Coturnix japonica: one gene and its partners. The protein of the gene in region 1 interacts with the protein of each later gene in a pairwise test. Links are inferred from orthologs where the notes say so. Each region holds a gene or a part of one and is shown on either strand. Other genes may lie near its edges.

Region 1 (3,500 bases):
GTGAAACTAAGGGCTTCTAAGTCATTTCCTATGGAAAATCCAGAACCATCTGAACCAGACTCTTTCTATTGCTATTTTGCAGCTGCTGATCACACGGCTAATGTAAGCACAGAAACATTGGATTGCTTCCTGTGACAGAATTATGTGTCTTTTTCTACACAATATTTTCAAATCAATAATTTCATAATTGCTCAAAATCCCATTGCAGGCTTTTTTCCCCTCTTGGCAGAGGTGAGCAGTGATAAGCTTGTTGGATTTTGGCACTTGCTCTTGAAGTGAGAGGGAGACTAACAAAGATTCAACCAGAGAGGGTATGGCAGAACACAAAGCAGAGGACAGACATACATGGATTCATTGCTTATTTTCACTGAGCCGCTTTGTGTTGGTGGAAAAGTAAAATTGTTGGTTGTTAGTCACTGAATCTCTTATTTATTTCAGTTTGACAGTTCTCCAGGCATTAGAGGATGGACTGAAAAGAGCAGATGCAGATCCTTCAGTGAAAGCTGTTACAATTTGTGGTGAAAATGGGAAGTTCAGTGCAGGTAAGACATACCTTCAAACAGTATAAGAAAAAGAGGAAGAACTCTGCCATGTAACACTAATAACAAAATGCCACAGATTCTGATGTGGCTGAAAATGTCTGAAAAACAGTGAACCTTTTCTGCTGTCTCAGACTGATGTAGGACACATCACAGATTGGACTGTCCAGGCCAGAAATAAGCCAGTAGATTCATGCTGAAACAGGGAACAACTTCTCATCTTTCTATCTTGCTGATATGCTGGTGTCTCATGACATTGTATAAAATCTCAGGACCAAGAATTAGCCAATTATATAGACCCGTCTTGGGATGGGGCAGTTGTAACAGATCTCCAGTTGTAGAGATCTGTGAAGCTAACAGATTTCTGTGGAGTTTGACATTACCTGTAAGTAGCAATTCAGCTTCTCCAAACGAAATTTCTTTTATTTTTTTAAGCAAGTATCCTTGCAAAATACTGTCGTAATTGCATGATCATTACAGTTATGTACTCTTCTATTTTGCCATCCCTTTAGTACTCTGAATAGGCTTAAGGAGCCTGGGTTTCTTGCAGCTGGTCTCAAGAGATCATTGCCAGTTAATATGCCAGCAGTGTGTTCTTTCAGACCTCAGTCATCCATGAGTGGTGACGTTTAATGGCACCGAGGGAAGAGTCATTCCACTCACTGCCTCCTCCACTAATTCCTTTTCATCTTTGTGCTTCCACAGGCGCTGATATTCGGGTATTTTCTTCTCCAAAGAAGCAGGGTCTTGGCTTGGGCCCCATAATTTCTCTCATAGAAAGGAGCGAGAAGCCTGTTGTGGCTGCCATTGAAGGGATCGCCTTAGGGGGAGGCCTGGAGGTGGCACTTGGCTGTCACTATCGTATAGCACACGTGCAGGTAACACCATGAAGTAGAGAAGTTGGTGGGAAAATCTGGAGCCTGTGGCCATGTAAAGAGCGGGAGGCTGCTCCTGAAGAGCAGCTGAGCAGTGTGTCTTTTCTAATTAGAAACTTCAGAAACTGAGTATTAATTTGCACTCATTCTCAGTAGTCATTATCAGAATTCTGGGGAGCTGGCTCATGCAGTATGATTTCCTCTTATTTTCGTCCCCAGCCATGCGAATTTAGCATTTCTTTCTGCAAGTGGCCTAGTTTCAATAGGTGAAACTCAGCTAGCACAGAGCACTTACAATTTGATTCCTCTCGGGCTGTTTCCTCAGGGTGCACTCTAACCAACAGACAGCTTCCCCTCCTCCCCATTTAAGTCTTTCAAAATCATCTTTTTTTTGTTTCTCTCAAATCCCTTCCTTCAGGATTGCCCAGCTGTCTTTTAGCAGCACCTCATCTCCTTACAGAGACTCTTCCCTGACAGGAGCATCTCCTCACTTTATCAGAGCAAATCACTTTCTCCCTGACAACGTGGGTTGCTGTAACACAATGAAGAGACACTTTATATACCCTGCATGTGATCTAAGATAGGTGCCTGAAGTAGCGGTCTTAAAATAACCCCACATCTCTTAAGAGCTCAATTAGAAATGTACAATTAAAATAAATAAATAAACAAGCTGAATAAATATTGAAATTAAGATAGGAGCTGTCACTGGCTTCTTTACCATAACTTTAGTAAATCTCAAGTGCATCAAGAAGTACCTGAGCGTTTTTGAAAGATAGTGAAGTGTTCAGTATGCAAGTGTTTTCCTACAATATGTTTCTCATATATAAGGAAAGGAGACAGCAGGTCATGGAGATGCTGACAATTGTTTGTCTTCTTGAGCTGTGCAGCTGGAAGCATTGGTTTGCACATCTTGTGGTCTAGAGTGATGCTGTTGTCTCCATCAATCTCCTCCAGCATTGTGCTAGTACTCATACATCCACTGATGGATCATATCTCTTCTGCCCCTGTACATAAGCTCTTGAAAAAGTTGAGTGGGCTTCTGGGTTAAACCTCTCACACAGTAAAAAGCAGAAATGAGGGTTTTATGTAGTAGTTTTTCAAGGATTCCTAAAGAATCAAGTCTGATTGTTTTGTTCTGCTCAGTTCCTAATTGTTAGTCTTGTTAATCAGATTTGTTGTTGAATTTGTCTCTAATCTAGGCACGGATGGGTTTACCAGAAGTCACAATTGGGTTACTTCCAGGTGCTGAAGGCACTCAGCGGCTCCCCAGACTGATTGGGATTCCTGCTGCTCTGGATATAATTACTACAGGTAAAGTGCTGTGCCTTGCTCTGTATATAAGGATAACAGTGGGTCATGCCGTTGCTTTTGTCTAATGAAGCCTAATGTTTGTTTGTAAGGACATGGCTGCTTGAGTTGAAATTCAGCTTGGTTCTTCTAAGGATAGATTGATCAGATCAAAAAAAAAAAAAGAAAGAGTGAAGTCACATGCAACACCCCAGCTGTAATCGCCTTATTTCTCTCTTCATCACAGGAAGACATGTTCCTGCAACTGAAGCACTGAAGCTGGGCTTGGTTGATGAAGTTGTGGAAGAGAACACAGTTGAAGCAGCAATCCGTTTGGCAACCAAGTTGATTGGTGAGAATTGTAGCAATGCCAAGAAATAATTGGTGAGGCTGAAGAGAATTAGAACAAAGCCCATTAGCGTGTTCCAGCCTTCACAGTCCATTCATTGGGTTTTGGCATCCATACGAAATGGAATTAACAGCAGGATTTGTTTTCTGTTAAGTGAAAGTTGAAAATCTCAGATGCTGAAGAGCTGCAGAAATTTGGTTGAGGATTAAGTGGGAAAAAAAAAACAACAGAGTCCTCGTGCTTCTATAATTTTATATCCATGCTTTTCTGGACTACTGCACTCAACTGATTTTAGAGACTATGTGCTGTTTCTATACATAGTTTTGGATGATAGCTGGAATTGTATGTAGTCTGGTTGTGCCATCGATAACAGCCAATTGAAAACAACGTTCTCCCTCTAGTGGAGGGACTGGCACATCCTCAGCTGAACTCAGTGATCCACGAGTAACT
Region 2 (2,161 bases), on another chromosome or scaffold:
CTTGGGGTCTGAAAGCCCTACAGCCCTCTCTTTGGTCCTGCAGCCAAATAAGGGGGGGGTCCCCACAAAGACAGTGAGTTGTTCAGTCTCTCCGGCGGCAGCCCTGTCCCCGCCGGTGGCAACAGATTGAGGACACTTGGTTTTTGTCGCTAAAACATCCCACTGGGAACGGCGATGACGAGGGGAAGAGGGGCAGCACCGGCTGAGAGCCACCTCAACGCTTTGTGACCCTGAGGGGGGAACACGGAGCGTCCCTCCGTGTGCTGGGGGCCAGCCCAGCTCCGACTGCGGGCAAAGGGTCCCAGCAGAGTGTGGGGATCCCGCAGTCATTCTGAGGCTGCTCAGGGCTCAGCTCCCTTCGGGGACGGGCTCTGCTGCAGTCCTGGTATCGGCAAGGTTGCTCCCCAGTGGTGGAACTGAGTACCCCTCGATGTCCCCCCCCGTGTACCGCCCCCTTCCCCTCCCACGCTCCCGCCCCATAGATGCACTGGAGGCAGGGCGATGCTCCTCTTGTTTATTTCAGCCGCCGGCAGTCACGTACACGCGGTGGGGTGGGGGTGCGGTGGGGCGAGGGGTGGGGGCGCCGGCCCTGGCCCCCGGGCCTCTCTCCGGCTCCTCTCTCTCTTTGCCCCCTCTCTCCCACTCACTCACTCCTGCTCTTTCCTGTGTCCACCTACGGGTTTCCTCTCTGCTCAGCCAGCCCCATCCCCGCGCAGCCTCTCCCCCTCCTCCCCCGGACGGGGCTGCCTCTAGGGCAGCGTAGGGGGGGAGCGCAGAGCCCCGGCCCCCGGAGCACCCCAACCTCTCCCCGTCCCCGGCATCGCTGCAGCCCCACCCAGGAGAAACGCCAGCTCCGGGGCGAGCTGCTGTGCCGTGCGGGGAGACGGCTCCTGCTCCTGCGGGACCGCCCCCGAGCGGGGAGGGGGCTGCGGGGCGCGGGGGGATGCAGAACCCGCTGCTGGGACCCGAGGCCACCACCTGCTCCCCCCACCCCTTCCTGCTTGTCCCCTCCGTCCCTCTCTGCCGCCCCCCGGCCCGGCCCTGATCCTGGCGCTAGCTGCGAAGCCTTGCGAAGCCGAAGGAGAGAGCCCGGGGGTGTGGGGGGAGCCCGGGCCGTGCCCGGAGGCGGCCGTGTCGGGGGGAGTACGGGCTTGGGGGGGGCAGAAGGGCGGCTGGGCACCGGGACAGAGTCTTCTACAGCACCTCGTGCTGCTGCTGGGTCGCCTCGCTCACCACCTGAGGGAAAGGAACGTGAGATGATGCCATGTCCCCGATCCTCACCGCCCATCTGCCCCCCCCCACACACACACACAGCGCTCACCTCTCCATCACGAGTTTCGATGGTTTTGATCATCACTGTCTTCTTGGTGTGCACCTCAGAGCCACGCTGGTCTGGGCTGGTCTCTGTGGGGAAGGGGACACGGGGATGGCAGCGGCCACGCAGCCAGGTGGCATGGGAAGGTGGCACTGGGGCTGGGGCCGAGGGTTTCCAGGAGCCCTGAGTCCCCCCACCTCACCCAAACACCCCATGTGCCCCTCCTCCCCACCCTCCTCCCAGCTCAGCGTGCCATTCACGGGGACTCCCGAGGGCTCAGCCCAGCTCACCTCGGAAATTGAGAGCGGAGGCAAAGGTCTGGTGCATGGGGATGCTGATCCTGCACGGACACAGAGGGGAGAGCTCAGCACCAACCATTCCAAAACCAGGCCCCCCCCCCCATCGCCCTGCTTCCCCCTATAGCTCACCTGCTCTCCTCGCCCTCCAGCAGCTTCCTGTAGGTGGCAATCTCAATGTCCAGGGCCAGCTTGACGTTCATCAGCTCCTGGTACTCACGCAGCTGCCGGGCCATCTCATCTTTCAAGTGCCGGATCTCCTCCTCCAGCCGTGCAATGGTGTCCTGGTACCCGCCGGCCTCCCCTGCAAAGCGCTCCTCCATTTCCCTCATCTGGCGCATCAGAGAGTCGTTCTGGGGGGAAAGTGGTGTGTGTCAGCAGGGGGGTGGCACACAGAGCACCCCAAAGTCCTTCCTGGGGTTCGTTCCGTGCTGTCTATGGCTCACCGTGCCCTTGAGGGCATCGATCTCACAGGTGTAGGACTGGATCTGGTGGCGATACTCCAGCATCTCCTGCTTGGCCTGCCGCAGGGCATCGTTGTTCTTGTTGG
Region 3 (3,500 bases), on another chromosome or scaffold:
GACAGGATTCCTGTTCAAGACAATCTTGCCCACCGGAATGAGAGGGTAGTCACTATGTGGCCAAATCTATAAGAGAAAATGCATGCATTAAAATAAATGTAATCAGTATTATGCAGCTTAAGTAACAAAACAGGCAAGTGCTGCTTAATAAAGTCTCAACTGAGAGAAAATACATTATTGAATTATTTCTTACTTCACTAACAGACATTTTGAGGAATTTGTCCTTTGAAATTCATATGGAGCATTTGTGCAAAATTATTGCTTCATGGCATAATCCCAGCACATGATTGCTTAAATGAAATACCCACAGGCACTTGAAGAGATGCCTAGGAATGCAGCATTGTATGTGGAACTGGTAGCATGATGGTTTTCTGCTACTAAGAAAAAGCAACTGGATAAACTAGCCTTACTTTCGTCATGCTGCAGTTTCAAGGTCAGAAGTATTTAGACATTTGGGGAGGGCAATATTTGAGGGGAAAAAAAAAAAAAAAGTAAATTTGTATTACTACCTTCCTAAGTGCCATTCTTTGCAACAGCATCTGGAAGTCTGACATAAAACAAGACCAACATCAAGACCACACAATGTAACTGTTTCAGCAAGGAAGAACAACAGAGATACCTTAGTCAAATCAAAAGGATTAAATGGGAACCTCTCTGCTTCTTCAAAAGTCATAACTTGAATGTAGAAAGACCAAGAAGGATAGTTTCCATTGGCTATGGCGTTGTAAAGATCACGAATTCCATAATCAGGATCAGTAGCAGCCAGCCTCCCTGCTTCTTCAACAGAAAGATTTTTGATGCCCTGATCAGTCTAAAAGGAACAAAAGCAGTAGAACCAGGTATGACATGCAAAAATTAAAGGAAATAAACAATAATAACAACAATGTGTTTTAACAAGACTCAAGAACTAAAAGCATGACTGTCCCAGTCTACAGTAATACCAGTCTGGGTAGCAATACAGCTGGCTACCAGGTAAAAGTGAGTTCTCTTATAAAACAGAAATAAATGTAATGCTATGCTACATACAAACAAACATGAAAATATGATCTCTACAGATCATAAGGTGAAGATATTTCTCCTTTCCCCCCATAGGATGGGGTGCTCCTCTACTGTCCCACCATATCATCTCTTCCCACAGATCACATGCCAAAATAAACTGACGGAAAGTTAGCAAATACTGAAAGTCTGAGATTCATATAGAATCTGTCTTTTTAAATATTCTTCTGAAATTTCTTTCTTCTGAAATTTCTCTGACATCCTCAACAGGAACTATAGTGCCATTTTAATAATCATCTGACAACTCAAGGACTAAAAGCTGCTATGCAGTTCCTCTTAGTTTAGAATAATGGTTTCTCAAGCCTTGCTTCAGGGGTAAGCAGCCAGGCTCCACTAACTGAAGTTTAACAAGTTAGGCAGCTCCACTGTCTTTAAAACAGGGAAGTTGTTTGCAAGTGGGATGTGCTACTGAGTTACTTCCCAACAAAGTAGGAAAGTTCTACAAGTTTCAGCCACAGATCTCAGAAAGAGGATTATACTCTTTGTCCTTGCATACGTCAGTGTAGTAGTTCTACAGAACATCCTCTACATATATTAAATGCATGCAATCGATTTGAAATGACGCGCACACAATATATATTAAGTATATGCACTAAGTAACTATCTTCTGAATTAAAGTAGAAGTAAAATACAGAGCATTCAGACAATCTTCAAGTGGAATTTAGCATAAATTCTACTTCCAATAGTTAAGTGGAGAAAAAGCACACCTTAACGTGGAATTTGCAGTAAACAGCTCCCCCACTAGCATTAACAAGTTTGAAAGTATGAGATCCATATCCATTCATGTGACGATATCCATCAGGAATACCACGATCACTGTATGTGAAAGACACCTAAAGAGAAGAATCCAACAATATTAGCTCATTTAACAGCTCAATTAAACAACCACTTGAAAGTAGGTCACTTATTATATCACTGTAAACATTTAGTATTAAATATTGTATCAACATCCTAGAGAAATTTAAGTTTCTAATAAACTAAGACTTCTTAGATTTTGCACATGTGTAAGGGTGGCTAACATAAAGATGTTAACAAAGATGATGGTGTAGATATTCAAAATTTATTAGCAAAGGAAAACTCACTAATGTCAATGCCTTGACCAGAAAGCTGAGGCAGTCTCCACTGGGGAGCAATCTCCAAAAGATGCTGCCTCAGTGGTGGTCAGCCCTTAAATGAGGTCTTGGAGGAGGAGGAGTTGAGGTTCACCCCTTCCAGGAGCACAGCTAGATTACTCTCACCTGTGCTCCCACAGCTGACCCAACACTTGCCTCAGCTGATTAATCAGAGCTTCAGGCTGTGATTACCAGTTTCCAATACAGCATGCAACAAGGATTCAAAGAGTTACACCCACTTTAAATATTAAAGGAAAAACACATCAACCTAGTGATAATGCTGTGATTTTCTCTATAACACAGAGCAAAAAAGCATAGATATTTAAATAGAAATAAGATTTTCTATAAAATAAAGAACACCTGAAATTTTAAGTCCTAAATAACAAACCCCTAAGTGTCTTTAGGCAACAAACATAGCACCAGCATTACTCAGAATGCTGTTTTTCTTCAGGTTTACAATCAAACAATGCTTGTTGTATCTCTATTCCCAAGCAGTAGTAACTGGAAAACTACTATATGAAACCATCTAATTTTAAAAAACACAACTGTATTTCAATTTTCTCTAGCTTTTCATATAGCATTCTTTTTCATATGCTGATACTAATATACAGGCTCATTGTTAATCAGCTCTCCCATGGGCTTAGTATTAAGGAAACATACAAACTTTCTTTCCATCTCTATGTAAAATATGACCACAGAAATGAGAGAAATCTAGCTTTTTCATACTCTTTTAAAGAAAAAAGGCAAAACTAGAAGTGCTAAAAACCTTAATATCAAAGGTATTAAAGGCCTTTGAACTCTACTGTGCCTAAAATATTATGTAGGCTTCCAGAAAAAAAGTTTCAGTTAAAAACATGCTGCCGTAATATGAAATTAGAAGAGAAGAGAAACTTACTTGATGCAAAGACTCAGGGCGAAGACTCAAGAAGTCCCATACCATATCTGGATCCTTCAAATGAGTCTGAGGATTCCTCTTCTGACTATGGATGAAGGATGGAAACTAATTTGCCCAGGGAAGAAAGGGAAGAGAGGAAAAAACAAGTTTTATTTCATATCCCCAAATACATGGTATACATGTACAAAACAAGATTGGCAGCTTTAGTCAACATTTTTAGCTATGAAAGGAACAAAACACTGGAGAAATAGAAAGCTTTAAGAAAAATCTTCTATTGAATTTTACTTCCTGCAATCAGATTTGTTACTCTAATTTTACTGATTTGACTATGAAAGCAGAATATTTACCATTAGAATAAACAGAATGTTCAAAGACAGAAAATGCTTTCAACTTCTGTCCAATGAAAGGCAAACACTCTTAACTTTGCATATGAACAC

What was found. The genes of interacting proteins can lie anywhere in the genome.
Region 2: the proteins of EHHADH (region 1) and DES interact in binary tests that used the Homo sapiens proteins (3 or more experiments, as listed by UniProt). The two-hybrid records come from large-scale screens. The link is inferred for Coturnix japonica from reciprocal best matches to the Homo sapiens genes EHHADH and DES.
Region 3: the proteins of EHHADH (region 1) and CAT interact in a two-hybrid assay, tested with the Homo sapiens proteins (2 studies listed by BioGRID, with this or other methods). The link is inferred for Coturnix japonica from reciprocal best matches to the Homo sapiens genes EHHADH and CAT.

What each region holds. Positions count from the first base shown.
Region 1 is NC_029524.1:2,564,206-2,567,705, reverse strand, and holds part of EHHADH (peroxisomal bifunctional enzyme), read left to right. Parts: intron 1-438; coding exon 439-542; intron 543-1,244; coding exon 1,245-1,417; intron 1,418-2,613; coding exon 2,614-2,725; intron 2,726-2,948; coding exon 2,949-3,053; intron 3,054-3,500. UniProt on the Homo sapiens protein: Peroxisomal trifunctional enzyme possessing 2-enoyl-CoA hydratase, 3-hydroxyacyl-CoA dehydrogenase, and delta 3, delta 2-enoyl-CoA isomerase activities. Catalyzes two of the four reactions of the long chain fatty acids peroxisomal beta-oxidation pathway.
Region 2 is NC_029522.1:24,553,372-24,555,532, reverse strand, and holds the end of DES (desmin), read right to left. Parts: coding exon 2,058-2,161; intron 1,965-2,057; coding exon 1,744-1,964; intron 1,656-1,743; coding exon 1,606-1,655; intron 1,405-1,605; coding exon 1,322-1,404; intron 1,237-1,321; coding exon 1,195-1,236; 3' UTR 501-1,194; downstream 1-500. UniProt on the Homo sapiens protein: Muscle-specific type III intermediate filament essential for proper muscular structure and function.
Region 3 is NC_029520.1:6,151,039-6,154,538, forward strand, and holds part of CAT (catalase), read right to left. Parts: intron 3,169-3,500; coding exon 3,064-3,168; intron 1,890-3,063; coding exon 1,764-1,889; intron 812-1,763; coding exon 620-811; intron 67-619; coding exon 1-66. UniProt on the Homo sapiens protein: Catalyzes the degradation of hydrogen peroxide (H(2)O(2)) generated by peroxisomal oxidases to water and oxygen, thereby protecting cells from the toxic effects of hydrogen peroxide.